7 linked regions of the Cricetulus griseus genome follow. The protein of the gene in region 1 purifies or fractionates together with the protein of each later gene. This does not show direct contact. Links are inferred from orthologs where the notes say so. Each region holds a gene or a part of one and is shown in the gene's direction. Other genes may lie near its edges. The genes, in order: Stau1, Fmr1, Syncrip, Iqgap1, Hnrnpu, 40S ribosomal protein S2-like and Elavl1.

Region 1 (3,806 bases):
TGCAGTTCACTGGATGGTTTGTGCATTTACTCTCAGTAATGTGGAGGCAGAGGCAAAAGGTAGGTGTATCCCTCTGAGCTTGAGGCCAGCCTGGTCTACATAGTGAGACTGTCTTAAAATCCAAACACAAACAAAGGCAAGAAAATGAGGAGGGTCCATTTTCTAAGAAGGAAGTTGGACCTGCAATTTGCCTAGGGCAGGGAAGGAGTCCTGTTAACCCTTTCAGTGTTCTGGCACGGATTTTGATTTTAGCAGCCAGACACCTGTGGTCAGAACGGCTTTAATGGAGTATGCTGGAATTTGTCCAACAGCCAGCCCTCAGAAGAGTGGTATGGGAGGGAGGCATCACTATGGTTAGATCCCTGTCTTTATAAATATGTTGATGGAAAGGATCGAGGCACACATTTTCCATACAGTATTCTTTATTGTAGATTTTAAACGTTTCTAACTTGAATGTGGCCGTCACAGCAATAGTTTCAGAATTGGCTGCACAAAACACCTTTTCCATCCTGTTTAGCAAAGTCATCCCCGGGGCCTTTTGGCAGCACAGCAACCAGTTTCTGTTGTGTCTTAGAAGGTTCAGCCACAGGTCTTTGTTGTTTTCTGCAGGTAAAGGTTGGGAACCACACTGCAGAAGGAGCGGGTACCAATAAGAAGGTGGCCAAGCGCAATGCTGCTGAGAACATGCTGGAGATCTTGGGGTTCAAAGTTCCCCAGGCGCAGCCTGCCAAGCCAGCACTCAAATCAGAAGAGAAGGTGACTGCTGGGACTCTCACTGCCAGGTGGCCTAGCTCCCTGCATGGGCAAGCCTGGGGCAAGGCTTCATCTTCCCTGCAGTAAGCAGCCTGCCCCCTGGGGTTCGTCCACTTGATAGTGTTTGCAGGAGGGAAGTTTCCTGTCCAGTTCACCGTGTCCCACGAGTGGTTTGGTTAAGTCTGTTTAGTGTCGCTGTGGGCTGGATGTGCATTTCTGCAGGATGTCCTGTTCTCTCCTGATGGGTAGTTGGGATTGGAATGAATACGTATGGCTACCATCTGTGCTTCAAAGGGGTTTGCATGACATATTGCTCCTATGGATCTGGCTTTGGCTTCTCTGGGACAAGATAGCATTGTTAACAAAAGGCCAAATCTATATAGTTCAGATTGAGAATTCTCCTGTGATTCTTAGTTGAATATTACTCTGCAGAGTGGTCAACAAGACTCCAGGAGAACATCAGCCACTATTGCTGGCTCCAGCCGTTGTCCTTGGGGTTCACTAAAGTAGGACTGAGCCTCTTCTGAGTTCTGCATTTCATGACTAGAAACAGCTCCCACTGTGCCTGCAAAGTCACTACCTGGGACGCAGACATTCCATATGGAGTTGCATAAACCTGGATTTGGCTTTCAGATTTCCCATTTGAAAACCCCCTTGCCTTGTGTCTGACGGTCATGCACTAAATGCCTCTGTGTTCTTTGTGGAAGCATTTCTGGATGTTAGTTCTAGGTAATGTAAGGCACCCCTCAGCACCAGTGCAGACCCTATCTATTCTCCCACTGGGCTGAGCACTTCTAAACCAGCACTTCCTGGTCCTTGGCACAGAGCCAGCTCTGCATTCATGATCTGCTCCATGTAAATGCCAGCATGGGCAGGCATGAGAGCTTGTGTGGTGTATGGGTGGCGATAAAATGCACACAGACCCCAGCGCTTGTCCATGCTCACTGCCATTTTTCTTTCTTAAGACCCCAGTAAAGAAACCAGGAGACGGAAGGAAAGTAACGTTTTTTGAACCTAGCCCTGGGGATGAAAATGCAACTAGTAAGTGTGACCCTCTTGATCCCGTGTCTGGGTTTGCATGGTTATTATGTGACTGAAGCACAGGAGCTTGTATGTGCTGAGGTGGTGAAGAGGGCACTGTAGCTTCTTGGGTGTTGGGGTGGCTGTGGTGACCTGTATGTCCCTCACAGGTCATAAAGAGGATGAGTTCAGGATGCCTTATCTGAGCCATCAGCAGCTGCCAGCCGGGATCCTCCCCATGGTGCCAGAGGTTGCCCAGGCTGTTGGGGTTAGTCAAGGACACCACACCAAAGATTTCACCAGGGCAGCTCCGAACCCTGCCAAGGCCACGGTAACTGCCATGATAGCTCGAGAGTTGTTGTACGGGGGCACCTCGCCCACAGCCGAGACCATTTTAAAGAGTAACATCTCTTCAGGACACGTACCCCATGGACCTCGCACAAGACCCTCTGAGCAGCTGTACTACCTTTCCAGAGCCCAGGGATTCCAGGTAACTGTTTGCCTTTCTGTGGTCATCTCTGGGCCTCAGAGAATGACCTTTACAGCATCTTCTATATGAAGAACCCAGGTTCTGTCCCCCAGTACTACAGAAACCAGGAAAAGTGAGATCATATGGTCTGAGTGTAAAGTGTGGCTCAGTGCAGGAAGTGAGAGAGGCAGGGGCAGGTCTGGGGTGTGACAAGGTGGCTCACTGCATAAAGGTGCATTGTCACCAAACCCGACAGTCTGGAATTGGATTGTTGGTGGAAAGAAAACTAACTGCAGCAAGTTGTCCTTTTACCTGCATACCCGGCATGCCACGTGCTTTACACACATGCACGCACGCACCAGGGCAAGTGTATGTGGAGGGGGATTATGGAGTAAGAAGCATGACAGGTCTCTAGGGAGAGAAGACACTTTTCTTTAGGAAGCAGCATTTAAAACCTAAGTAGGACCCTGGAGGATTCTGGGCTGGGGTTCACATGGCTGGGTGTGTGCTCTTCTCTCTTAGGTTGAATACAAAGACTTCCCCAAGAACAACAAGAACGAGTGTGTGTCTCTCATCAACTGCTCCTCACAGCCACCCCTTGTTAGCCACGGCATTGGCAAGGATGTGGAGTCCTGTCACGATATGGTATGTGGGCCCCAAGATTGCGGAGAGAAGCTGGCTGAGCCTGGCACATTGCCTTGTTCAGACTGTTGGTGGTCTCAGGAAGAGGGACACGTTCTCCTGTAACCTTTCAAACAGTCTAAACTCTTCAGCCTCTATTCTGGGAGCTGTAGAAAGTTGCCCCCCCCCCCCACCAAGTCTGTTCAGGTGACGTTAAACCCTAAAGGAGAGGAGTCTGCATACAGGAGATTTGTCACTGGCTAGAGCAGACATCTCGGAGTTAGGGGGGAAAGGGGTCAGAATGAGTTCTAAGGTAGCCAGGGCTACACAGAAACCATCTTGCTGGTTGGGGGCGGGGTAGGTGATTCAAACATTACATTGGGAGGGGAAAAAAAGTTTTAAGACATTGCTATCCATTTTTTGATATCTCTTTCCAGGAGAGTCTGGCTTGTTCTCTGGCTGACTATTCCTTCCTTCCACCCTTCTAGGCTGCACTCAACATTTTAAAGTTGCTGTCTGAGTTGGACCAACAGAGCACAGAGATGCCAAGAACAGGAAATGGACCAGTGTCAGCGTAAGTGAGCATTTGCAGGGTCAGTGTGGTGTCCGTCCGTGGAAGGCAGGAGTGCCCTGAGTGAATGTGAGCAGCAGGTCAACTCTGGGGAAGCAGCTGCAATCTGGTTTGAACCCCTGGAGAGCCCCATGTTTTCTAGGCAGTACCCTCCTTGATGTAGACCTGAGAATAAGCAAAAGGTTGATGTTGTTTTAATGATACATGGTAGTACATCTTGCCCTCACTCAGTGCCCACCCCACTCACTCTCCTCTGTCCCACTTTGTCTTGCCATGTGGGTTCTAGGAACTGAACCCAGCTCACTGGAAGAATAGCAGTGCTCTTGACCACTGAAGGAACTGCAGCCTCTCCTGTGTTTATGGAAATAACTC
Region 2 (3,806 bases), on another chromosome or scaffold:
AGTCACCTCAAAGCGAGCACACATGTTGATTGACATGCACTTTCGAAGTCTGCGCACTAAGCTGTCTCTCATTCTGAGAAATGAAGAAGCCAGTAAGCAACTGGAGGTATGTTCTTTCCCTAGCACTTTTGGCAAAGCTGTCCAAAAATAACTGTATAGTTCTTGTTTACTTCCTGTTGCCCTATAGTTTGGAATATTAAATTATTCAAAGTATAATCATACTAAAGTTTTCATGCCTGATGTTTTGAAGTTACACAGCAGTCATGTGTTTTAAGGAAGTTTTGGACAATTCATTTTTGCCAAGTTTGTCAAAGCTGCTATAAAGTGAGACTGCTTCTTCTATGTAACATGTTATCATTAAAGTACTAGAGAGTATTTAAATATCTAATCTTATTCCTTTCATTATGTATGTTTATCTCTGTTTAAAAGGGTATAGAACTTCTTCATTCTAATTGGTTGTCACTCTTTAAAACTCCTGTCTTCAGATTCCTGCCAGAGGCTATTTCCCTAACTTACTATTTCGTCTCTTAAGGTGCATTTTATCTACTTTTATTAATCCTCCAATAATTGCCATCACCATACATTTATTTTCATTGATAACTATCTAGTACTTCCATCCATTACCATAGAAATTAAATGGATTTTATTTTAATGTGCCAACTCAAGTAGATTGCTGTCAAATTGAAGAGGCCCTCATCATTATTCATTTTGTTAGGGGAATTGTCAGTTGATAAAGCAAAACAAAGGGGGAGTTTAAAATTGCAGTTAAAAGAAAAGGTAGTCAAGGATGTGAAAATTGCCACTTTTCAACTTGATGTGTGATTGATAAACTCTTAACAGGAAAGGAAAATTTTACTTTTGTTTTCCAAATGGCCGCTGAGGTCTGATCTTTTTTTGTTTTTGTTTTTGGTTTTTTGTTTGTTTGTTTGTTTGTTTGTTTGTTTTTTTGCTCTCATTCTTTCTTGATGGTCCCCCAAGTTCACAATGTGGTTTGTTTAGTGATTTTTTTTCTCATAACTTAGGCCACAGCAGTCTTCTTAATTTCATTGTGAGTATTAAGAAAATACCTCTTCCTAAGCATCTAATTCTTCTTGAATGCTCTTTGCCATACCTTTAGTTTACGTGTGTCCATAAATTATCAATGGAAAGAATGAACCAGGCTAATGAGTCAAGATCCAAAAACGTGACTTCTTGGAAAATCCTAGAATATTTTGTACACTTTACTACTATTACCTTTAAAAATAACTATTCTTCTTTTAAAATTGCTTACATTAGATATTTTCATTCATTCAAATTATCAGGTGTGTTGAATAATGATAAACTAGTGTGCATGCCTATTTTCTTCACTACTAATATTAAAGGGGTTCATATATCCTTATAAGAAATACCCATTTTTCAACATGAGCCACTAATATGTTTGATTTTCATTAATGGCATGCTAGAACTAAACATTCAGTTTTGGTATGCTACTTAAAGACAGTGATTATCCACATGTGTGGGGTATCATTGGAACTTAGTTTTGTCATTGATGAAGAGTTCATTGGGGATCCAGATCACAAAGTCTTACAGACTCTGATCACGTATGTGAAACAAATTTGAGAAATCTATATTCTGTAAGTGTTCACTTAACTGATAAGCCAGAAAGTTTTAGAATTCTTTTCCTTAAGTTTTGTGTTCTTTTAATGCCACATTTCAGCAAAATGCTTAGATCCACCATACCTGGTGATGTATTATGAAAGTGACACCATTTCTAGAAAAAGTACTAATATATCTATAATAAAAGTGCAGTGAGTAATTTTTTTTCCTTAAAGATGGTATTTTTATTTTGTTACTTAATTTCATTGAGTCTGTCAGACCAAGTGAGCTGTTTTTTAATTGGGATTATTTTGTCTGCTTCTTAATTATTAATTACATTGTGGATATCATTGAATAACAAAGGCAGCCTTGCAAATAGGTTTTCAAAAGTAACCTTGAAAAACTGTCCACAAGCTCTTTCCTGTTAACAAAAAATGTTTTAAATGGCACAGACTCAGTAGCCTAAAAAGAACTTATGTGTAATTCTAAAATTAGTTTTCAAATAAAGCAATTTATAGGACCCTGATATATAGGGTCAAGATAATTTACATGGCTGGCCTAAATAAAATTGTCTTCATAATTGATAAAGTATGTTCATCAGTTGTGCATTTCTCTTTAGAGTTCAAGGCAGCTTGCCTCAAGATTTCATGAACAGTTTATTGTACGAGAAGATCTGATGGGTCTAGCTATTGGTACTCATGGTGCTAATATTCAGCAAGCTAGAAAAGTACCTGGGGTCACTGCTATTGATTTAGATGAGGATACCTGCACATTTCATATTTATGGAGAGGTAAATATTTCACTATATAATCCAGTTCCCCTGCAAAACAAACAAACAGTATTTCAAATGATGTATCTTTTTTGTCTTTGTACTACACCCACTCACCCTGCTTTATTAGGATCAAGATGCAGTGAAAAAGGCTAGAAGCTTTCTGGAATTTGCTGAAGATGTCATACAAGTTCCACGTAACTTAGTAGGTAAGTCAAAAATAACTATTAATATATACCACAAATAATTCTGTACACAACTTCTGTATCACTTAAATCTCTTTCTCTCACTAAGAAGTGTAATCTAATTAGAGCAATTTTTTGAAATGTAATCTGTTCTTACAGTGTATAGAAAATACATACTCAAAGATTCTATTTTCAGATATACAAGAAATACTTTGTTCAGACCTATAAATGTCTAAAAGGATAAATTTTACCTAGACTCCTTATATCATTTTTTATTATAGCCTTTAATTTTTTTCACATGAATGAAAATTGAGGCTTTGGTGATATTTGTTAAATGATATTTGTTAAAGTGATAGCATTCATTAAATTTGAAAGATAAATTTAATTCCTAGTATCCTAGGAATTTTATGGATTCAGTGGTAATTCTTCATTTTAAATTGATTAATACTGTTTCCTAATCATTAGTGTGATTAGTGTTAGAATAGGATCTTTTCGTTGGCATTCCCAAATAATTCAGCTATGTTTGGTAGAACATACCAAAGGTATAGCTTTATATAAAAACCATAAGAAAAAACAAAATGTGTTTTGAATTTATAAATAAGATTGGGGCATATCACCTCTTAATCTCTTGTAGGAGTTTAAAATGAACAAACTTCCTATGTATTTTACGTACATAGTTTAAAATATTCATAGGCTGCATTTTATCAAAATAGAATCATAATCATCTTCCAGTGTCACATAGACAGACAGACAGGTCTTTTTCAAGACCGGGTTTCTCTCTTGAAACAGAATTCTGGCTGGCTGTCCTAGAACTTGCTCTATAGACCAGACTGTCCTCAAACTCACAGAAATCTGCATGTCTCTGCCTCCTGAATGCATTCCAGCATTCCAGTATCATTTAAAAAGTACTAGTAATGTCCCAGCATCCAGGAGACAGGCAGAAGAATCACAAATTCAAGGACAGCATAGGGTACATATAGCAAGACCCTAATTCCAAAAACTGGTCCCAGAGTCATGGTATATTTCCCATTAATAAAAAGAGCTTCAAGGTCAAGTACAAATACTAGCAAAGTTAGTAGCTGACATGTACACTAAAACAGAAGTTTGTGAATATAGTGTTACTGTGGTAGCACGCATCCAGTTGTGTAGAAGATCCATGCCTAGAATAGCACAGGATGACGTGATTATGATAGAACTGTGGGTGTCCTTTGAAGTTTATTTGCATGGCGCTGTGGTAGGGGAAATGCTTGGCTGTATTTGGTAACTGTGTGACTTTG
Region 3 (4,582 bases), on another chromosome or scaffold:
TTGCTATTATAGCATAACGCTCATTTAGGGGGAATCAGTAGCTTTCTAAAAATAACCTTTTTTTTTTTTGTCAAAAGGATAATGCTATTTTCATTACCGTTGCTCTGGATAAAACTAGTATCCATAGCCGGGCGTTGGTTGTGTACGCCTTTAATCCCAGCACTCGGGAGGCAGAGGCAGGCGGATCTCTGAGTTCGAGGCCAGCCTGGTCTCCAGAGCCAGGGCCAGGATAGGCTCCAAAGATACAGAGAAACCCTGTCTCGAAAAAGCAAAAATAAATAAATAAAATAAAAAATTAGCATCCATATCGTCTGGGATACAAGCGCCTTTGTCTTCTCTTTCTTGTACCTAGTAAACGGTTACAAAGGAAATGTCACTTCACATAACATGTAGTTACCAAGATGTTTGAAAAGAGACACGGACATTTTCCTCACAGTTGTCCTAAATCACGAAGCTTTGTGCTGCTTCAAGTTGTTCAAAGTGTGCCAGGAGGAGCACTCAACTGCTTCGAAGGCCAGGGACAGGAACGGAATATTGCACAACCCAACACCACCGGGCCGGTTAAGCTTCCAAATCTGGCCTCCGTGTCATCCCCGGGCGGGAGGCACTGGGATTTCCTCGCGAACCCGCCGCGCGGTGCCCCTCCCTCCGCCCAGGGGACTCGTGGGAGCGGGAGGACGGCGCGCGCCGGGCCGCGGGATGCCCCATTGTCCAGCGGCGGAAGCCGGGGCTCCCCGGGGTGACTCCCGAACTCGAGCCCCGCCACCCGGCCGCCCGGAGCTCCGCCATCCCCGTGCGGCTCCCCCCCGCAGCCCCATTGTCTGCCTCGCCTCGCCCCGCCCCGGGGGACACGTGCGCCTGCAGCTTCCCGAGCGCCCAGGGGCGGTGCGGCGGCGGCCCCGGCCGAGGTCCCGGCCGAGCGGGCGATTAGTGCCGGAGCCCCTCGGAGCCCTCGGAGCCCGGGGGCCGGCGGCGGGGCGGTGGGGCGGTGGGGGCGGGGAGGGCGGGGTGGGGAGATGCTTGTCTCCTGACAAAGAACGAGTGGGACACGCCGAGCAGGCCGCCCCGCCCGCGGAGCGCGAGGGAGTGTCCGCACGGAGGGCGGGTCTCTCATTCACTTGGCCCCTCATCGCCGCCGCGGCGGAAGGGCGGGGTCTCGACTCCCCTCTCCCCCTCCCCGCCAGGAGCTAGGGGCGGGGCGGGAGGCGGAGCCCACGGGCGCGCGTCCTGAGGCGTCGGCTGCGTCGTCACGTCAGCGCGGGAGAGAGAAAGAGCGACTCGGCAGGGACTGGGGACGGGCCGAGAGAGCTAGCGAGGGAGGGCGTGAGCCAGAGTGCCAGCGAGGAGGAGAGAAGGGCGGCCACTCGTGTCTGAGCGGCCGCGGACGGGAGTGGGGACGCTGGGGGAGGAGGTGCAGGGAGGGAAAGGAGGAAGGCCGAGGGGACAGGGCGGCCGGCGGCCGGCGGCGGCGGCGGCGCGGCGGCGGCAGGGGAGAAGGAGGAGCTGTAGGAGGGCAGGGGCTGAGGGAGTGAGTGAGAGAAGCGGACGCGCCAGGGAGGGGAGGGAAGGGGGGTCACGCGGGGGCGCGCGCGCGCACTGGGAGCGCGCTCGGAGGCGAGTGGAACTGGATCGGGTTTGCTGCCAGCGGCGTGAGCTTCGGCCGCCATTTTACAACAGCTCCACTCGCGCCGGACACAGGGAGCAGCGAGCACGCGTTCCCCGCCACCCGACCCGGTCGGACAGGATTCCTCGGCCGCAGCCCCGCGGGGAGGTAACGACCGCCGGCACCCGGGTCTGGGAGGGGGGCTCCATGACATTGTGGAGGGAGCTTGGGGGAGGGCGGCGCGGGGAGAAACCGGCTTTTCTGGAAAATGGATTCCAAGGGGGAGAGGAGCACGTTGGCCGGGGCTGCCAGGGAGTAGGCCGCGGCCGCGCCGCCACTTCCTCCTCTCCATGTGCTGCCGCGGCCGGGCTTTGTCTGCGGCGCTCCGGGAGGAGGCGCCTCGGCAGCCCCGTGGCCCGCGCGGACCGCGAGCGGCGGGCGGACTTGGTGCTGTCGTGGCCGGCGGCGCGGGAGTGGGCGGAGAGGCGCGGGGTGCTGTCCCGCGGCCGGCCGGCCGGCCGGCGGGCTTGGGCGGTGCTGGGCTCCCGCGGGCGTGCGCCTGGCGGCGGAACGCCCTCCCGGCGCGGGCTGTCGGCCTCGGCGCCCGCAGCCGCTGCACCGAGGGGTGCGGGAGGCCGGGGGTCGCGGGCGGCTGGGGAGCACCCGGGGCGGAGAGCCATGTGTCAAGGCGGAGACGGCGGCGCTGGGGGGCGGGGAGAGCCCGTGGCCTGGCGCCGCCGCGGCCTCGGTGTTGAGAGGCGAGATTGTGCGGCTGCACGGTTCGGGGGGCTCGGACCGCGACTGCGGGTTGATGTTGAGAGGCGGTGACGACCGCCTTGGCCCGGTACTCGGTGGGTTTCCGTTGAAGGAAGTTGTAGGACATTTGAAGGCGCAGAGCACGTGTTTCTAATGGGCTCCTGGCGGCCGCAGTGGTGAGGCTGCCGCTCCGGGTGCGGAGTCGGGGGCGGGCTTTGGGGTGTGGGGGTGAAGGGTGGAGGAATTGGGTGGTGGGAAGGTGGCTTGTGTGAGCGCTTTGTTCTTCGCTGGCTGTTGTTACTGATCTATAAGCGGCAGGCGGGAAAAGCGCACTTTCTGGTTTACCTTGGAGAGAGACAAGCCCAGCGTTGCTTTTCTTCACACACACCTTATTCTCCGTTTTGGAACTGCTGCATGTGGCAGGCTCGGCCGGTCCCTGTGCTGATTGGGCTTCATTTGTAATACGGTTTTTCCTAGCGAGTGTTAGCAGGTGAAGTCAGGGGTGGTGATCAGGAAAGAATGTAGTGCATCGGTCCGTCTGTACCCCGGGCTCCAAATCTGGCTTGTCAGGCGATGGTGACTTTAAGGTTTCTTTCGAGGGAGGCGCAGGCTGGCTGGTTGTAGTTACTGGTAGAAAGTAAAGATTGGGACTGTCATTGTCCTCTATTCTTTTTGAAGACCCTAGTTTAATTTTGCTTATTGCGTTTGAACAGATCTCTGGAAACATGGCTACAGAACATGTTAATGGAAATGGTACTGAAGAGCCCATGGATACTACTTCTGCAGTTATCCATTCAGAAAATTTTCAGACATTGCTTGATGCTGGTTTACCACAGAAAGTTGCTGAAAAACTAGATGAAATTTACGTTGCAGGTAAGAAACAACACTTGCAAAATTACATTATGAAATTTTTCTATTGGATTTCTGGCTTTGAGCTAAAATAGCAACTTTTTGTGGTTTCCAATAAATGTGGGAACTGGAGCTTTGCCTTGTTCTGATAGTTGGTTAATTTAGGTTTGATCTAGAGGTTAAAGTGTAGAGGGAGGGATGAAGTGGGGAAAAGACCTCCCTTAGGGGAACGCTGTCTGGCCTGACAGATAAGTATATGATAGTAGCAACAGCTGCTAAATGTTGAGAGCAGCCCATGTGACTTTTTGGGGTATTTTTAAAGCAGGGTTCTTGTTTAATAACTTGGTTACTGTAGGCTAGTTCTCTTGTTTTTCTTGGTGTGGTGGTTCCTTTTTTTCTAGTGGCATTTGACATTGAGTAGACTTGCAGTTGCTATGCTTGGTGTTTTGTTGGTTGACAGGATTTGTAGGCTTATATATTGTAGAAATATTGCAGTGTTCAGGATTACTTGGACACAAATGGGATGTAAAATATGTTGACTTCTTTCTGTGTGGTTGAGAGGACTTAGCTCAGAATGGCTAAAATATATTCTTCATTATGTAGATAAGGGGAGTAGAATCGCCACGTGTGTGTACCTGTATTGGCCAATACAGGACTTTCTGAAGAAATAATTTGGAAATTTTAAAAGGTGATAACTAACTACATTTTCTCTTTCCAGGGCTAGTTGCACATAGTGATTTAGATGAAAGAGCTATCGAAGCTTTAAAAGAGTTCAATGAAGACGGCGCATTGGCAGTTCTTCAACAATTTAAGGATAGTGATCTCTCTCATGTGCAGGTAATGTTAATTTCAGTGTAGAAAAAAGTACTTTTGATCTTATTTAAATTTAATTAGACACAGACATAATAGTAATGTTAATATGAATGGAAAATTTCATTACAGAACAAAAGTGCCTTTTTATGTGGAGTCATGAAGACTTACAGGCAGAGAGAGAAACAAGGGACCAAAGTAGCGGACTCCAGTAAAGGACCAGATGAGTCAAAGATTAAGGTATGTTTTTGAGAACTTTCTGTAGCTTTAAGTGTGTGTGTTTTGTTTTTGGAGACAGTGTTTCTCTGCAGCATTGGAGGGTCTTTAGACCAGACTAGCCTCTAACTTAAAGATCTGCATGCCTCCACCTCCCAAGTTGCTGGCATTTAAAGGTGTGTGTGCCACCACTGCCCGGCCTTTTTTTTTTAGTTATTTTCTAGCTTTGGTAAATATTCCTGCAGTGTGGCATGAATATATTTCTAAGGTTATTGTCTTTTAATGGCTAGATTTTGAAAATTAACTTACAATTCATTTTATCTTGACTGGCTACCAATGATCCAACCT
Region 4 (3,806 bases), on another chromosome or scaffold:
TGTGCTTCGGATGTGGTGGCTTTGTTGTTCAGCCCCTTTTGTGAAGATACCTGTTGGCCTTGCGGGTGGAGATGGAGGGATGCAGGTCAGTCACTGGATCTCTTTACAGCTCCTGTTGGACCATCAGGACGCCATTGCTCCAGAGCACAACGACCCCATCCACGAGCTGCTGGATGACCTTGGCGAGGTGCCCACCATCGAGTCCCTGATAGGTAATGTTCTTAATGAGCCTCTGAAAAGCTGAGAGGGGACCGCATCAGGGGATTTAGTATCATTGTCTCTCTGATCTTGCGCCATATCAGAGTCTAGATACACAGTGGGGAACAAAACTAATATAGGCCCCACCTTATGAGCACCTGAGTCCAGTGAAATAGCAGATACTTTTAAATACAGAGACAAAAGTAATACAGATAATCAGAAAGTAAGTCTTATAGTTAGATTGTTGACAATTTTTTGAGACAGGGTCTCACTTTGTAGTCCTGTCTAGCTTGGAACTCGATAAGACCAGGCTGGCTTCACACTCCCAAAGATCTACCTCTCTTGGCCTCCTGAAGGCTGGGATTAGAGGTGTGCACCACCGTGCCCAGTGAAACGAGTTTTTCACACTTTTATGAAGTTACTGTGTTATGGACCCTTCTCCTCAACCATTTGCCTCAGTTTCCTTTACTTCTCAGTAACAACTGCTCATCACACTGAAGGGCATTGGTTTATCAAGAGTCATACTGACCTGCATTGTATTTATTTGAATTATTTTCCCTCCAAAGTGTTTTTTTATTACATTGACTCTTTCTACACTTCAAAAACTGCAGGGGAAAGTTGTGGCAATTTAAATGACCCCAACAAGGAGGCACTGGCTAAGACAGAAGTATCTCTCACGTTGACCAACAAGTTTGATGTGCCTGGTGACGAGAATGCAGAGATGGATGCTCGGGCCATCTTACTGAAGTGAGTATTGAAAGGGAGAAGGAAGCGGCTTAGAATCCAGTTCACCTGGAACAACCATCCTGGCCTCTCTTGCCCGTCACAGTGCTCATCACCCTGCATCGTGCTTGGCACAGGACTTACTTTGCTAACATACAATTACAGTCTTGGAACTCCTCCCCTGTACCACCTGCTATAGTTCCCTTGCTCCTTGTGCCAGTAACTGTCCCTCTGGGTGCTGTAGCAAGGCGCTGTGGGGTGACGATGCTTCAGATACTGCTCAGATCCTATGACAAGGAGGTAGAACACACAGCCATGTTCAAACCCATTCCCATCTCATTGCAGCACAAAACGTTTAATTGTGGATGTCATCCGGTTCCAGCCAGGAGACACCTTGACTGAAATCCTGGAGACACCAGCCACCAGTGAACAGGTACACATGAAGGTTTCACACTGGATAAGCTTTTCTATGATAGGTGCATCCCTGGGTGGGGATAGGGGCACAGGGAAGGGATTGGACCCTTGGGTGAGCATGGATCTGGCTATGGAACAGTAGTAAACAGGGCTCATCTGACTGAGAAAGTTGGTGGCTCCTAAATCCAGAAGGTGTTCTTAGGATGAAACATGAGATAGAGAATACAGGATAGATGAGAATTTAATCTGGGACAGAACATGTTGTCTATGTAGTAATTTAATGACTGTCTTATAGTTGTAATTATATGAAGTACCTTGGTTGTGTCTATAAAAGTACAGGGTGTGGCTCCAAACTTTAAGGTCCATTTAGAAAAATTATGATACATGCATCTGAAACCATAAGACCATTAGAAATTAGCTATAGTATTGATTATAAAAATGCCAGGGAACTGGAGACATGGCTTAGTGGTTAAGAGCACTGATTATTCTTCCAGAGGACTCGGTTCAGTTCCCAGCACCCACATGGCAGTTCACAACTGTCTGTAACTCCAAGATCTGACACCCTCACACAGGAATATATGCAGGCAGAACACCAATGCACATAAAACAAAAGTCAAAAAAGATTCCAGAAGTTTCTGGCTATGGTGGGCATGCCTTTGATCCCAAAGATATCTGTGATTTCAAGGCCTGCCTGGTCAACATAGCTAGTTCCAGGCCAGCCAGTGAGACTCTATCTCAAAATAAACAGAAACACAACAACAACAACAAAAAACCCCACAGTTTTTGAGGTGGAGGCCAGTGAGGAACAGTGTATCAGGAAGTCACAACAAAAGAAACAGAACCCAAGCCACACTTAAAGACTGGGAGGATCTGGGTGTGATGGAAAACAAAAGAGCAAATTCTGGGGAAGAGAGCCCACAGGAATAATGGGACCAAGGAGGGAAGAACACAGTGAGATCTGGGGTGAAGATGGGCGGGGTAGTTATGAGAAAAGCAAAGCTGAGGGTGGAATTATCTAAAACTCTAGAGCTCAGACTGGGGTGAGGAGATGGTGATGACAGCCATGGATGATAGCCGTGGATGCCAAAGTCAGAAAAGACGATGAAGTTGTTACAGAATGATCAGTTGGGCTTGGCAGTACTCAATCTCTGCTCAGTTGAGGCAGGAAGATTACCAAGTTCAAGGCCAGCCTGGGCTATCTGGCAAGACCTTGTCTTGGTTGTTTTTTCTTAAAAAGTAAGGGAAAGGGTAAGGAAAGACAGCAGAGTCTAAGGAAGGTTCCTTGATATGACAGTATTTGCAGTGTGCTTGGGAGCAGAGGGCAGCAGGAGCCTGCTCCAGCTCAGGCAGTGTGTCAGGAGCATTAGCAAGATTTCACTGGGCACTGCTATTGGTGTTAATTTGTGTAGTTATGAGCCACATTTTGACTTCAACATCCTAAATTAAGCTGGGAAAAGGTAAAGGATTTCTTAGCTCATAGAATCTAGTTTTCTGGCTACACCTAGTATCAAGAAAGCACAGCATCTGGATTCACAGTTGTACTTTGCTAGGTGAAATGAGGTATCTCACTTTGATGCTGTTCCTTGTCTGGTAGAGAGAAGACATTTACAGCAGACTTGGAGAACTCTGTATTCAATTGCAGATATGCTGTGAGTCCAGGTTTAGGGCTCCTGTGGTGAACTTACCAAAAAGTATTTTTCTTTTCATCTGTAGGAAGCCGAACATCAGAGGGCCATGCAGAGACGGGCTATCCGGGACGCCAAAACCCCCGACAAGATGAAAAAGACAAAACCTGTGAAGGAGGATAACAACCTCAGCCTTCAGGAGAAGAAAGAGAAAATTCAGACTGGCCTAAAGAAGCTAACAGAGCTTGGGACCGTGGACCCAAAGAACAAATACCAGGAACTCATCAACGACATTGCCAAGGTACTGCATGTGGGAACAGTGGTGGCCCGGCCTTGTTTACAGCCGCATCAGGAGCTCATGAACAGACAGTAGCCACTCAGGCCACAGCATAGCTTCTCGTATGCAGAATAGTACAGTCTGACTCTGACATCAGGACTTCAGTAGAGCTTCCAGTGTCTTGAGTTTTTCATTGCCTTTAAAGAATCCTTCAGGGCTTTTTCATAATTGCTATGGAATATATAAAGTTGGTAAAGTTTGTGTGAATCACCCAAACCAGGGTTCTAATTTCACTGGGATAATGCTGTTTGCACCGAGGAACCTGGTTTTTTTTTTTTTTTTCCCTCTCAGGATAGCATGTTTATGAGGTCTAGACCAGCTCTGTAAGTAAAGTATGTAAACAAAATGTGAGCACACAGCTCCCTGTTGCTAGAGGATTTAAGCAGATGAGATCTGAATTTCTTTTAGGTTGCAAACACAGGTCGCTGCCTATTAAGAACAGTCAGCATGTTTGAGTTCAGCCCGGCTGGGTTGTAGAGTTCACGAATGGTGATGGCTCAAGAGATATA
Region 5 (4,411 bases), on another chromosome or scaffold:
GTAGCCCAGATTAGCTTTAAATTCTTTATGTAGCCAAAGATGACACACACACACACACAACCTTTTTGGTTTTTTGAGACAAGGCATCTTTATTTAGCCTTGGCTGTCCTGGAAATAGCTCTGTACACCAGGATATTTGGAGCTGGGAGATCTGCCTGCCTCTGCCTCCCTGGTGCTAGGATTAAAGGTGTGTGCCACCACTGCCTGGCTGACTGAATTCTTGATCTTCTTGCCTGCATCTCCCAAGGGTTGTAATTATAGACCTGTATAAACACACCTATTAGGCACAATCTACACAGAATGGCCCGTGCAGAAAATAAATTCTATTTCTACCTAAAAGTTTCAAGAACATAACATGTTTTTAATTACAGAGAAAAATAGCAACAATTTTTTGTTTGTTTGTTTGAGATGGGGTCTGTCTGACTATACAGCCCAAGGCGGCCTGGACTTTACTATGTAGCCCTGGCTGGCTTTCAACTCTTGATACTTCTGCCTCAGTCTGCCAAGAGATAGGACTGCAAGTGTGTAGACAACTCAGTGTGTGTCTGAAAAAACGGGGAGAATCAAAGTGCATTAAAATTTAGCTGGATGTCCCTCTCATGGTTAACTAAGGGAAGTCCTTCCTGCAAGAGGCCTGTCTTTACAGTGAGTCTAGGGGAATCTTCCATGCAATTCTAGGGGTTACTCAAGGGTCACTAGTAAAGACGGTGAGAAGTGCACAAGGCCCACACTGCATGCCGTGCGGCACGGAGCGGTAGGGCAAGCCTGCGCCTCCCCAGGCCTTGCACCACCGGGTATGGAAGAGACAAAAGAAACGCTGGGGCCTCGCCCTTGCGGAACTTAAAAAGTCCGATCGGCAAGGCAGGGCTTGTAAAAAATTAAACTGCAATGAAGTGGAGGAAGAAAAAAACAAAACACAAAACAAAAAACCACCTCTGTCTAACAGCCGCTTATTTGTGCTCTGCGGAGCAGCAGCGGAAACTTGGCGGAGTCTTAAAGCGAGAGCCGGAGGGACAGACAAAAAAAAAGACAAACTAAGATGGAAGAAAGGAGGGTGTCCTCCAGCGGGAAATGCCAGATGAGGACGCAGGGCGGGTGCAGGGGAGCCTCCTCCGGGCCCACGGAGGCGGACGGCCCGTGGAGCGCGGCCGCCGAGAAGCCGGAAAGGCCGGCGGCCGCCGCGGCCAGTCGGTTTAACCGAAAGGCGGCTTCCTGAGCCTCCATTTGCGCGCCGGGGCCCAGCGCCGAGGTCGCCCCGTGGGGGCGGGGCGGGGAAGGGGCGGGGCCTGCGCGCGCAGCCGCCCTAGCGAGCCCCGCCCCGGCAGGGGGCGGGGCGCCTATATTACGTGCGCGGCGCCGCCCCGGCGAGAGGACGTTGCGTGCTCGCTCGCGCCAGGCGAGTCTCCGCGTCTTGCCTCGCGAACTCGGTGAAAGGAATTGGCGCCGTTCGACACCAGGCGGGTCCGCTCTGCAGCACTCAGCCATCTCCAGCCGCAGCCGCCGCCCGGGCCGACCAGCAGCCGCCGCCACAGGCCGAGGGAGCCAGCAGTCCGCGGTGAACCGGGGCCCTCACCATGAGTTCTTCGCCTGTTAATGTCAAGAAGCTGAAGGTGTCGGAGCTGAAGGAGGAGCTCAAGAAGCGGCGCCTCTCCGACAAGGGCCTCAAGGCCGATCTCATGGATCGACTCCAGGCCGCGCTGGACAACGAGGCCGGCGGCCGCCCCGCCATGGAGCCCGGGAACGGCAGCCTCGACCTGGGCGGCGATGCGGCCGGGCGCTCGGGGACGGGCCTCGAGCAGGAGGCCGCGACCGGCGCCGAAGACGACGAGGAGGAGGAAGGCATCGCCGCCCTGGACGGCGACCAGATGGAGCTGGGCGAGGAGAACGGGGCGGCGGGGGCGGCTGACGCGGGCGCGATGGAGGAGGAGGAGGCGGCGTCGGAAGACGAGAACGGCGACGACCAGGGCTTCCAGGAGGGGGAGGACGAGCTCGGCGACGAGGAGGAGGGCGCGGGCGACGAGAACGGCCACGGGGAGCAGCAGTCCCAACCGCCGGCGGCGGCCCCGCAGACCCCGCAGCAGCGCGGGGCCGGCAAGGAGGCCGCGGGCAAGAGCAGCGGCCCCACCTCGCTCTTCGCGGTGACGGTGGCGCCGCCCGGGGCGAGGCAGGGCCAGCCGCAGGCCGGAGGTAGGAAGGCGGAAGGCGGCGGGTGAGGGCTGCGTGGTGGGCGGGCGGGCGCGCGGCTTGTAGGCCCGCGTGGGGACCGTGCCCCAGGCCGGCCGGGGCCCCAGGGGCGAGCGACGCGGGCGGGCGGGGGGGGCGGGGGAGCCCCGGGGCCGCCGAGAGGATGGGCTCGCCATGCCGGCGGCGCCTCCTCCATTATGTGTGTCGGGCGCCGGGGGGAGCTGCAGCTGCCGCGGTGGGGGAGGAGCCGGGCGGGAGCGGCGGCCGCTGGAGCGCTGCGTGCGCGCGGTTCGGGCACATGTCTGGGGGGAGGGGGAAGGTCCCGGGGCGGGCGGGCTTTGGCGGCTCAGCGCCGCGGTATTGTGCAAGGAGCGCAGGGGCTCGGTGTGACGTCACTTCCGGCGGGAGGCGCCGGGCGCGGGGAGTGAGGCGGAAGCTCAGTACAATGCGGCGGCGGGGCACGCGGGCTCGGATGGGGGAGGGGAGGCGGGCCCACGCTGCCCTGCCCTCCCCCCCACACCCCCCGCCGCCGCCGCGCGCACGGCGCGCAGCACGTGGGCCCGGACGGCGGGCGCGCGGTTTTAGTCCTTAAATGCATTCCGGAAGGTTACCCTAGGCTGGCAGGATTAGCAGCGTCTTTAGACTGCGTCACCGTCTCCAGTGCAGTTCCAGGCTGATGGATACGATTTTTTCTAGATTCATATTAGTTTCGTGGGTTAAAAAGTCTCAGAACTCGCCTGGCGTTGGTGCCATACGCCTTTTTCCCCAGCACTCGGGAGGCAGAGGCAGGCGGATCTCTGTGAGTTCGAGACCAGCCTGGTCTACAAGAGCTAGTTCCAGGACAGCCTCCAAAGCCACACAGAAAAACCCTGTCTGGAAAAACCAAAAATAAAAAAGTCCGAGATCCAGTCTAGGAGGGAAAAAATAACAGCCCCTAAAAGTCCCGGAACAGAAACGGGAGCTTTTCTCTATAATTCAGTCTGTGGCCTGATGATTTAAGGCTGTGTTCTGTGTCGTTATAGGAGACGGTAAAACAGAACAGAAAGGAGGAGATAAAAAGAGAGGTGTTAAAAGACCGCGAGAAGATCATGGCCGAGGATATTTTGAGTACATTGAAGAAAACAAGTACAGCAGGTAGAGGATCCTAACCTAGTTTTATTTGTCACCCAGTTTTTATGCGTGGTTGGGAAAGCTTTATCAGGAGACGATTCTGTCTTTCAGAGCCAAGTCTCCTCAGCCACCTGTTGAAGAAGAAGACGAACACTTCGATGACACAGTGGTTTGTCTTGATACTTGTAAGTGAAGCAAACTTTCCCGCTCTTTTTCTCAAATATTTAAGTGCAGTGCTATTTTGGTTTAACTCTTAGGAAAAGTGTGTTTGTATATCTTAAAGTGGAGAAAACCCGTTAGATTGTTTTAAATCAGGAAGATAATAGCTCATGTTCAGGTTACAGTAGTTTTATGTTTAGCGACACTTCAGTTGTATTGCTGTTTTTACAAGCTCTACTAATTGATACTTATGTCATGGAAGTTCCCAATATTTAGGGATGTAAAACTAATACCGATTTTTGTTCAGCTTTCAGAAACTTGTTTTTAAAACCTGCCTGTAACATGTCCTTAGATAGGTAATATGAAAATTAAAATTTTTCTGTGGAGCTACTATATTAAGTGAGCTATTTGGGCTAGTTGAATACTTACTAACGATTTTCCCATTAGCGCACAAGTACATTCCCTATTCTAAGGATTGTCATATTACCTTTTCAATAACTGCTCTTTTGTTCTCAATTCCAGTTCAGTAGCTGCTGCTCTAACATAAGTTGATTTCTTCCAAAGACCTGGGGCAGCAGCAGTGGGCTATCTGAGCCACTAGCTTTCTTCAGCAGCGAATGGTATCAATGGCAGCGCTGTAAATATGCTACTTTAGAGTATGAGGAAGTATTGCAAGCCATGAAATGGGCTTTAGCTGTCAGATTTGTATTTTGATCCTTTCAAGAAGTTTGTTAGTTTAGTATTTGATAGGGATGTATAATGCTTGGTGTGAGCAGAACAAAAGGTGCTTGAATAAAGAGTTTTAAAGGGTTTCACATGTTAGAAAGGGTTAAAAACTTGTATTCCCTTGTTTACTTATACACATTGTGTTCAGAGTCCTGAGAGTTAAATGTAACTTGGCTGCTTTCTGTCAGTTAAGTCTTGAAGAAAGAGAGGAGAAAACAGCTGATTTGGATTT
Region 6 (2,937 bases), on another chromosome or scaffold:
GATTTTTGGAGTAACCTGAAAAATATACCAACTTCCAGCTTAAAAACCTATATAGCCCTGGCTGAGTATGTCAGTATGAGGTGCTTTTTACATATCCTTTTAACAGGGAGCTTTGGGTAGTATGCAGATAAAACTTCAATCCAATATGTGGCTTGTTTGTTTGTTTGTTTGTTTTGCAGGAATTGATGGTGTTACACAAAGAACCCATCAAGAGAGCTGCGGGACACAGGAGCAAAGTACAATGAAACTACTGGGTTTGGAGGCAGCAGCCTGGGCTTAAAGTTCAGTGCAGTTATCACTGTGAACATGGTCACACAACTTACCCATGAGGAGCACCTCTTTACTTCCCTTACAAGGGACACATGGGACCTCTGTCATGTCTGCAACTCTCTCACAGTTCTATCCTTGTGCTAACTGCTGGAGTTCTCATCTCCTACTTTACAGGTAAGACATGTCCAGCCATGGTTCACTCTCAACAGGATGCTTGATTCTAAATCTGTCTCGCCAGGTGACTTATTTTGCATGCCTTACCTGGCCTATACAAGAGTGAAGAGTAACAGAGCTCACACCTTTGATCCCAGCACCTGGGATCACACACCTTTAATCCCAGTGCTAGGGAGTTATATAAGACAGGAACAGGGTCTCAGAGCAGGCGTTCATTCTCCAGCCACATGGAGGATAGGAAGACACTGAAGTCTCAGGATTCTCCAGCCACACTGAGGAGAGGTTACAGTCTGAGGTTTGGTGGAGCCAGGATCCCCTTTCATTCTGAGGTAGAGTGAGAGCTAGTGGCCAGCTGCTTTGCTTTTCTGATCTTCATCTTGAAGTTTGAATTCCAATATCTGTCTCTGGGTCTTTTATTTATCGAGTTACACACAATGTTACTTCTGGCCTTCACACACATGTGCATAGGTGTGCATGCACACACATGTGTGTATACACACAAAGACACATGAATATGTATCCACAAGTACAAACCTCTTAGGAAGGAATAGGAAATCAGAGACAACATTCTGGGATTGGTTTTGTGGCACAAAATGACTGCAGTTTAATCAACTGGTTCACAGAGAACAGGCCTGTTCTACACTAAAGGTAAGCAGATAAATGTATATTTTTATGTGTTTTTTAAAAAGTGTGCTTTTTTTCAACTAACTAATCAGCCTCTAACCCCAGCTATCACTGATTGACAACAGGGTTTTCCTGATCTTATACGATAGCTTCATAAAGTAAATGACAAAATAGATAACACTTCATAAGCGGCAGTGTACAATACAAACTAAGCTATCTTATTAAAAATTAATAAACATTTGTCACAAGTGCTTATGCCTTTGGCATTTGTTTGTTTGTTCTGAGAAGGCTATGACAGGAATTAGCTCTATAGTTCAAGATAGCATCAAACTTAATATGTAGCCCAGGCTGGCCTTGAACTCACAGAAATGTCTCAGGGGCCACGGTCATGGTCGTGGTCGAGGACATGACTGAGGACGTGACAGCAGCCTCGGGGCTCATGGAGGTAAAGCCGAAGACAAGGAGTGGATCCCTGTCACCAAGCTGGGCCATCTGGTTAAGGACATGAAGATCAAGTCCCTGGAGGAGATCTACCTGTTCTCCCTGCCCATTAAGGAATCCGAGATTATTGATTTCTTCCTGGGTGCATCCCTAAAGGATGAGGTTCTAAAGATCATGCCAGTGCAGAAGCAGATTCAAGCTGGCCATCGGACCAGGTTCAAGGCTTTTGTCGCTATTGGGGACTACAACGGTCATGTTGATCTTGGTGTTAAGTGCTCCAAGGAGGTAGCCACTGCCATCAGAGGGGCCATCATCCTGGCCAAACTTTCCATTGTCCCTGTGCAGAGAGGCTACTGGGGGAACAAGATTGGCAAGCCCCACACTGTTCCATGTAAAGTGACAGGCCGCTGTGGCTCTGTGTTGGTGCGTCTCATCCCTGCCCCCAGAGGCACTGGCATAGTCTCTGCTCCTGTGCCCAAGAAGCTACTGATGATGGCTGGTATTGATGACTGCTACACATCAGCCAGGGGCTGCACTGCCACCCTGGGCAACTTTGCCAAGGCCACCTTTGATGCCATCTCCAAGACCTACAGCTACCTGACCCCCGACCTCTGGAAAGAGACTGTATTCACCAAGTCTCCTTATCAGGAATTCACTGACCATCTTGTGAAAGCCCACACCAGAGTCTCTGTTCAGAGGACCCAGGCTGCAGCTGTGGCCACCACATAAGGGTTTTTATACAAGGAAAATAAAGTGAATTAAGTCTGAAAACAAAACAAAACAAGAAAACACAGACATGGAGAGAAAAGCAGGTAGCTGAGAAACTCACTGTTGCCTGTGTGTCCTTGGAGGAATCTGTGCTTACAGTATTGGAAACCAGAAAAGTGCAACTGTAACATGAATACGTTGGACAAAGTAACAGTTCATAACCCCAGGCCAGGTGAAGCAGGATGGCACAAGATTTCAACACACTACTTAAAAGAGCATACCATGTAAAACATATGCATTGCTCCTTTGGGGGATTTTCCATTTAATAGTATTAAGCCAGAGTTGATGTAAGATAACTGAAGTCATGGAAAGTGACATGACAGATGAAGGGAACAACTGTACTCAACAGCCAGATGCATGACCTTCACAGTCTGGCAGACAGCCACCACTGCTACCGAGCAAAAATCACTTCTGATCATCTTGAAGCAACAAGAATGTTTGGTGCAGTCTGCTGTCAGTGTGCAGGCTCACACAATCTTCTCACCTGGTCTTCCTGGAAACCTGGGTCCTGACCACACGAGAGTGCACAGTGCAATGCAGCCATCTTCTCACAGTCCAGGTGGGCGGCGTTCCATAGGAACCACAGCAGGTACGACTGGTCAAGGGTTGCTCTATAGACCTTTCCAGAAGAGCAGTCCAGTATGAGGGACCCCGGCAGGG
Region 7 (4,297 bases), on another chromosome or scaffold:
AATACAGTTTTCAAATTTCATAAAACTATCTTTAAAAGGTTACATGGCCAGCTGTGGTGTTGCAGGCCTGTAATCCTAGAATTTGAGAGACGGAAGCAGAAGGACCATTTCACCAACATCCTTAGCTACATATCGAGTTGAAGACCAACCTGGGTCACATGAGACCCTGTCTCAAAAACATACACATCACCTCTAAATCCAGCACTCAGGAAGCAGAGGCAGGCAGATCTCTGCGAGGCAAAATCAGTCTGGTTCACAGTTCCAAGCCAGGGCTATTTAGGAAGACCCTGACTAAAAGAAAACACGCAAAAAAAAAAAAAAAAAAAAAAAAAAGACACGAGAGACAGAGAGAACTTTTTTTTGGAGGGGAGGTTGTTTTCGAGACAGGGTTTCTCTATGTAGCTTTGGAGCCTATCCTGGCACTCGCTCTGGAGACCAAGCTGGCCTCGAACTGAGAGATCCACCTGCCTCTGCCTCCTGAGTGCTGGGATAAAAGGCGTGCGCCACCAACGCCCGGCTCAAAGAGAACTTTTTTAATCATGCAATTTGCATATACTTTTCTGATAGCACTAGCGCACAACAGCAGCCCCCAAAGGGACAGGCAGTTGTTTTCTAATCACTGCCTGACTGGCTGACACATAGTATATACTTAAAATTTCAAAGAACGGGGACTGGCAAGATAGCTCAGTAATTAAGAGCACTGACTGCTCTTCCAGAGGACCCTAGTTCAGTTCCCAACGCCCACATAGCAGCTAACAACAGTCCAGAGGAACCGGCATTCTCTTTGACCTCCGTAAGCACTGCGCGCATGTGGTGCACAGACATACATGCAGGCAGAAACCCACCCATACACTTGAAAAACAAAAAACTTAAAACCAATAAATTTCAACGTTAGAGCCTTAGGGAATGCCATGCTGACCACATCCCTTAATTCACTAGTAAGAAAACTGAGGCCAGGCGAAGTGACGTCAACCGGTGCTCAACCTCAGGCGGAACCGAAACGTCGGTAGGAACCGGGATTCGAACCAGGGATTCTACCCTCCTAGTCTGGGCTCCCGATGACCACACTGCTTACTGTGGGCGTAGGCGGCTGCACAGCCCGTCAGATGAGGACCACACGGCATGCGTTCCTCAAGGAGAGCCATTCCTCGGCCTCCGCTCCAGTCGGCGTCTGCTGCGCGCCTGGCCCCAGCTAGCCCCTTCCACGGCCATCGCTGGCCACTCCGAGTCTCCACCGGCCGCTTTAGCCCTTCGCAGGCGGCGCCGACAGGAAGTCCTGCCTCCGCCGCACGCACCAGAGTACCTCGACAGCCATACTAGCCAATGAGCGCAGGCTCTTCGAAGACGCCGACCAATAGACGAGCGCGCTGAGAAGGGGCGTGTCTGGCCGCGGGGCCGGGGAGCGGGTCGTGCGCGCTGAGGAGGAGCCGCCGCCGTCGCCGCCGCTGCCGCCGCCGTCGCCGTCGCCGCTCTGCCGCCTCCACCACCGCTACCGAGGCCGTGCGGAGCCGTTATCGCCGCGCCGCCCGCCCCGGAGCAGAGCCCCGGGCCTTCCCGCCCGTGTTCAGGTGAGGCCGGGTGGCTTCGGCGACTTCCGAAAGAGTAGGCCGCGCTAGGGCCTGAGCTCGCCTAGCCCCGCGGGCGCCCGCCGGGCCTGCACCGGCCGAAGGCCCCAGGCCGCGCCAGGCCTGGGTACGGAGACGCGCGTGTGGGCCGTGGCTAGGCGAAGGGAAACCGACTCGGTTTGATCCAGGTCGGCGACAAGCCTCCCCCGGGCCAGATTCCTCTCTGGGCTCCCGCGAGAGAGGCGGGAGAAGGACACGGCGTGGGCACGCGCTTTGGGGGGCCGGGCTCCGAGGCTTTGGGGGGCCCTGCATAGTCAGTCTCGGAAGCCCGGTGATCCGGGGGCGGAAGAGAGGAGCGAGGGCCTTGGGCGCCCAGAGGTCACGGCCCACGGACTCGCTCCCTCGGGAAATCCCACAGATTTCTTTTGTGGCCGATTTTCAGGATACACCGCGACGGATCGTGAGGTCCTTTTAGAAGTGTGCAAACCTTTCTTCTGTATGTGTGGAAGTCCTAGAAAATAAAAGGAAACAAATTTTGATCGACATCTCTAACAAAGCTGTTCTCGGGACGTTTGCGTTTGTAAAATAATGTATAAATATTGAAAATATAATTGCACGCAGTTGAACAATGGGAAGTGAAGGAGGGTCTTTTCTCTTGTCTTTCTGCTGCTAAAGCATGTCAAAATGGGTTTTGACACCTACTGTGTGCAGGGCAGGCGGAGAACTTTTTTGCGCTGGACAGAGCTTTCATTATCGAAAGTGTATCCTGTGGGATACCGATGGCCAAGTGCTCTAAAAGGGGCAAGATCCGATGATAGAGAAAGCTCTTCTAACCTCCTTGCTACAGACAGTTAAGGTCAGATAATGGTTGGTTGTGGGGGCCTGGCTGCCCTGTGCATTGTAGGAAGTTGGATGGCATGACTGGCTTCTGCCTACTAAGTATTAGCATCTCTGCCTCCCACTTCTCCCAGTTGTGAAGACCAAAAATAAATTCAAGCGTTGCTAGGGGTCTTTCTTGCTCTCCCCACCACCAAACAGATACACACACAGAGGTGAGAAATCCTTAAATAATCCTTCTAGAAAAGTTCTTCCAGCCCTATCTCTGATGTTCTGTGGGATGCTCCTAAGATTTTCGAGTAGGCTATATTGAACTGCTTGTAAAATAGCAGGATGAAAGTACTGGGCAACCGTAAAGATGTGAGGAAAATCCCAGGATTGTGCATGCCACACATGGAATACATGATATTACAAATAATCAATCACCATGTTTTAAAACTTCAATATCCACTTAAGAGAAGAAAGTAAAGTTTAGCTTAGGATAATCTTGTACGCTCAAGTGGCCAGTGCAGGATTTGAACGCAGGTCCGAGATTCCCCAATGTATTGACACTGAACGTGTGTGTACAAAACTGCTGAGGTCTGGTTTTTAAAATGTTGCGGGGCTGGAGAGATGGCAGACAAGAGCACTTGTTGCTCTTGCAGAGGACCTGTGTGTTCAGTTCCTGGCACCTGAATGATGGCTCACAACCATCAATAACTCCAGTTCTAAGGGATCCCATGCCTTCTTCTGACCTTGCAGGCACCAAGCACAAATACACTTCCCATACATTTGTATAGACAAAACACTCACATATAAATCTAAAGTTATTTTTTAGTGTTGTGACTTGGAGGTCTGTGAAGAAGCTGAGAGAAATAAGAAACATTTCTGTTAGCACTGGTTTGAGGGAAACAAATTTGGATGTGTTCAGGAATAGGTCACAGGGCAACATTAGAAAGGGAGAGATTGAAAAACATACTTTTTCCTGTGCTTGCTCAGTTGCTTCCCACACTTACTGCTTCTCTTCTCTCTGCCTTTGTACACCTGCAGAAGTTGACTTTTGAAGATACAGATCATGCTTCTCCTCATTAGAAGTCTTGGGGTGGGGTGGGGAGTTGTGTTGGGCTGTTCAAATGGCTCTAAAGATTTAAATGAGAAGCCCTTAGTTTGGGGTGACCCTCTACACCCTCTGACCCTGTCTTATCTTGGAAGAAGATCTCTTTCTCATGCTGTGTGGCCCCGTCTCAGAGCACAAATACCACTTGAAGCTGCCTCCAACTGCCAAGGCTCCTCCACCTTCTCCAGAATCAACTGTTCTTGGTTTGTGTTCCCATCCCATTCAGTGTGTTCAACCTAGTTACATGCTGAATGATGAAGTGAGATGTAGTTCTGCCCTTTGCCCCTAGGTGGCAGTAGTTCAACAGTGGTCCTGGTTCTAAGAGAAGACCTAAGGAAATTGGCCAAGAGGGAAGTGAGTCTTTGTGTCCTCCTCCCCCAAGCTGTTTTCTAGCTCAGAGGCTACCTTCTGCAGAGGCCATAGTGTATGTGACCTGTGTGTAGATGATTTCAGCCTAGCTGGTGAACAATAGTAATGTACCAACCAAGGTTGAAGCACAGGTAAAGGAACTCCTACTGAAGCCCAAGAGACCTCAGAATGTTCCCTGGAGTTGTTGAGGCAGGAAGACTGGTAGGAAATAGCTAGGTAAAAGGCCAATGGGAAAGGCTCTTGAAGAAATTGATGAGGGGTGGGGGTGGGGAGCTTCCATTTGTTTGGGAAACCATGCAGGGTATGGAACTTTTGGGAAAGTAGAATGAAGCGAGTAGCAGATCTCTTGGGAAGAGAGCTCAGATATTATGAGGGCCCTCTCCAGATCCATGCTAATTGACAGAGAGGGTCACATTTGCACAGGAGGAGT

Evidence for each region.
Region 2: the proteins of Stau1 (region 1) and Fmr1 purify together in Homo sapiens (affinity purification with western blotting; 3 studies listed by BioGRID and IntAct, with this or other methods). This does not show direct contact. The link is inferred for Cricetulus griseus from reciprocal best matches to the Homo sapiens genes STAU1 and FMR1.
Region 3: the proteins of Stau1 (region 1) and Syncrip purify together in Homo sapiens (affinity purification with mass spectrometry; 3 studies listed by BioGRID, with this or other methods). This does not show direct contact. The link is inferred for Cricetulus griseus from reciprocal best matches to the Homo sapiens genes STAU1 and SYNCRIP.
Region 4: the proteins of Stau1 (region 1) and Iqgap1 purify together in Homo sapiens (affinity purification with mass spectrometry; 4 studies listed by BioGRID and IntAct, with this or other methods). This does not show direct contact. The link is inferred for Cricetulus griseus from reciprocal best matches to the Homo sapiens genes STAU1 and IQGAP1.
Region 5: the proteins of Stau1 (region 1) and Hnrnpu purify together in Homo sapiens (affinity purification with mass spectrometry; 4 studies listed by BioGRID and IntAct, with this or other methods). This does not show direct contact. The link is inferred for Cricetulus griseus from reciprocal best matches to the Homo sapiens genes STAU1 and HNRNPU.
Region 6: the proteins of Stau1 (region 1) and 40S ribosomal protein S2-like purify together in Homo sapiens (affinity purification with mass spectrometry; 3 studies listed by BioGRID and IntAct, counting the BioPlex papers as one, with this or other methods). This does not show direct contact. The link is inferred for Cricetulus griseus from reciprocal best matches to the Homo sapiens genes STAU1 and RPS2.
Region 7: the proteins of Stau1 (region 1) and Elavl1 purify together in Homo sapiens (affinity purification with mass spectrometry; 3 studies listed by BioGRID, with this or other methods). This does not show direct contact. The link is inferred for Cricetulus griseus from reciprocal best matches to the Homo sapiens genes STAU1 and ELAVL1.

Annotation. Positions count from the first base shown.
Region 1 is NC_048599.1:12,481,461-12,485,266, forward strand, and holds part of Stau1 (double-stranded RNA-binding protein Staufen homolog 1), read left to right. Parts: intron 1-609; coding exon 610-756; intron 757-1,718; coding exon 1,719-1,794; intron 1,795-1,943; coding exon 1,944-2,263; intron 2,264-2,764; coding exon 2,765-2,887; intron 2,888-3,351; coding exon 3,352-3,437; intron 3,438-3,806. UniProt on the Homo sapiens protein: Binds double-stranded RNA (regardless of the sequence) and tubulin.
Region 2 is NC_048604.1:6,733,591-6,737,396, reverse strand, and holds part of Fmr1 (synaptic functional regulator FMR1), read left to right. Parts: coding exon 1-106; intron 107-2,194; coding exon 2,195-2,365; intron 2,366-2,474; coding exon 2,475-2,553; intron 2,554-3,806.
Region 3 is NC_048597.1:198,399,420-198,404,001, reverse strand, and holds the start of Syncrip (heterogeneous nuclear ribonucleoprotein Q), read left to right. Parts: upstream 1-1,576; 5' UTR 1,577-1,771; intron 1,772-3,072; 5' UTR 3,073-3,084; coding exon 3,085-3,232; intron 3,233-3,926; coding exon 3,927-4,045; intron 4,046-4,150; coding exon 4,151-4,258; intron 4,259-4,582. UniProt on the Homo sapiens protein: Heterogenous nuclear ribonucleoprotein (hnRNP) implicated in mRNA processing mechanisms. Component of the CRD-mediated complex that promotes MYC mRNA stability.
Region 4 is NC_048596.1:116,873,792-116,877,597, forward strand, and holds part of Iqgap1 (ras GTPase-activating-like protein IQGAP1), read left to right. Parts: intron 1-109; coding exon 110-212; intron 213-809; coding exon 810-945; intron 946-1,266; coding exon 1,267-1,354; intron 1,355-3,048; coding exon 3,049-3,261; intron 3,262-3,806. UniProt on the Homo sapiens protein: Plays a crucial role in regulating the dynamics and assembly of the actin cytoskeleton.
Region 5 is NC_048598.1:15,817,673-15,822,083, forward strand, and holds the start of Hnrnpu (heterogeneous nuclear ribonucleoprotein U), read left to right. Parts: upstream 1-1,364; 5' UTR 1,365-1,574; coding exon 1,575-2,187; intron 2,188-3,206; coding exon 3,207-3,318; intron 3,319-3,405; coding exon 3,406-3,479; intron 3,480-4,411. UniProt on the Homo sapiens protein: DNA- and RNA-binding protein involved in several cellular processes such as nuclear chromatin organization, telomere-length regulation, transcription, mRNA alternative splicing and stability, Xist-mediated transcriptional silencing and mitotic cell progression.
Region 6 is NW_023276806.1:173,250,433-173,253,369, forward strand, and holds 40S ribosomal protein S2-like, read left to right. Parts: upstream 1-1,481; 5' UTR 1,482-1,572; coding exon 1,573-2,238; 3' UTR 2,239-2,249; downstream 2,250-2,937. Other genes in the region: Gsap (gamma-secretase-activating protein), read right to left, coding at 2,762-2,937.
Region 7 is NC_048597.1:89,139,749-89,144,045, reverse strand, and holds the start of Elavl1 (ELAV-like protein 1), read left to right. Parts: upstream 1-1,406; 5' UTR 1,407-1,568; intron 1,569-4,297. UniProt on the Homo sapiens protein: RNA-binding protein that binds to the 3'-UTR region of mRNAs and increases their stability.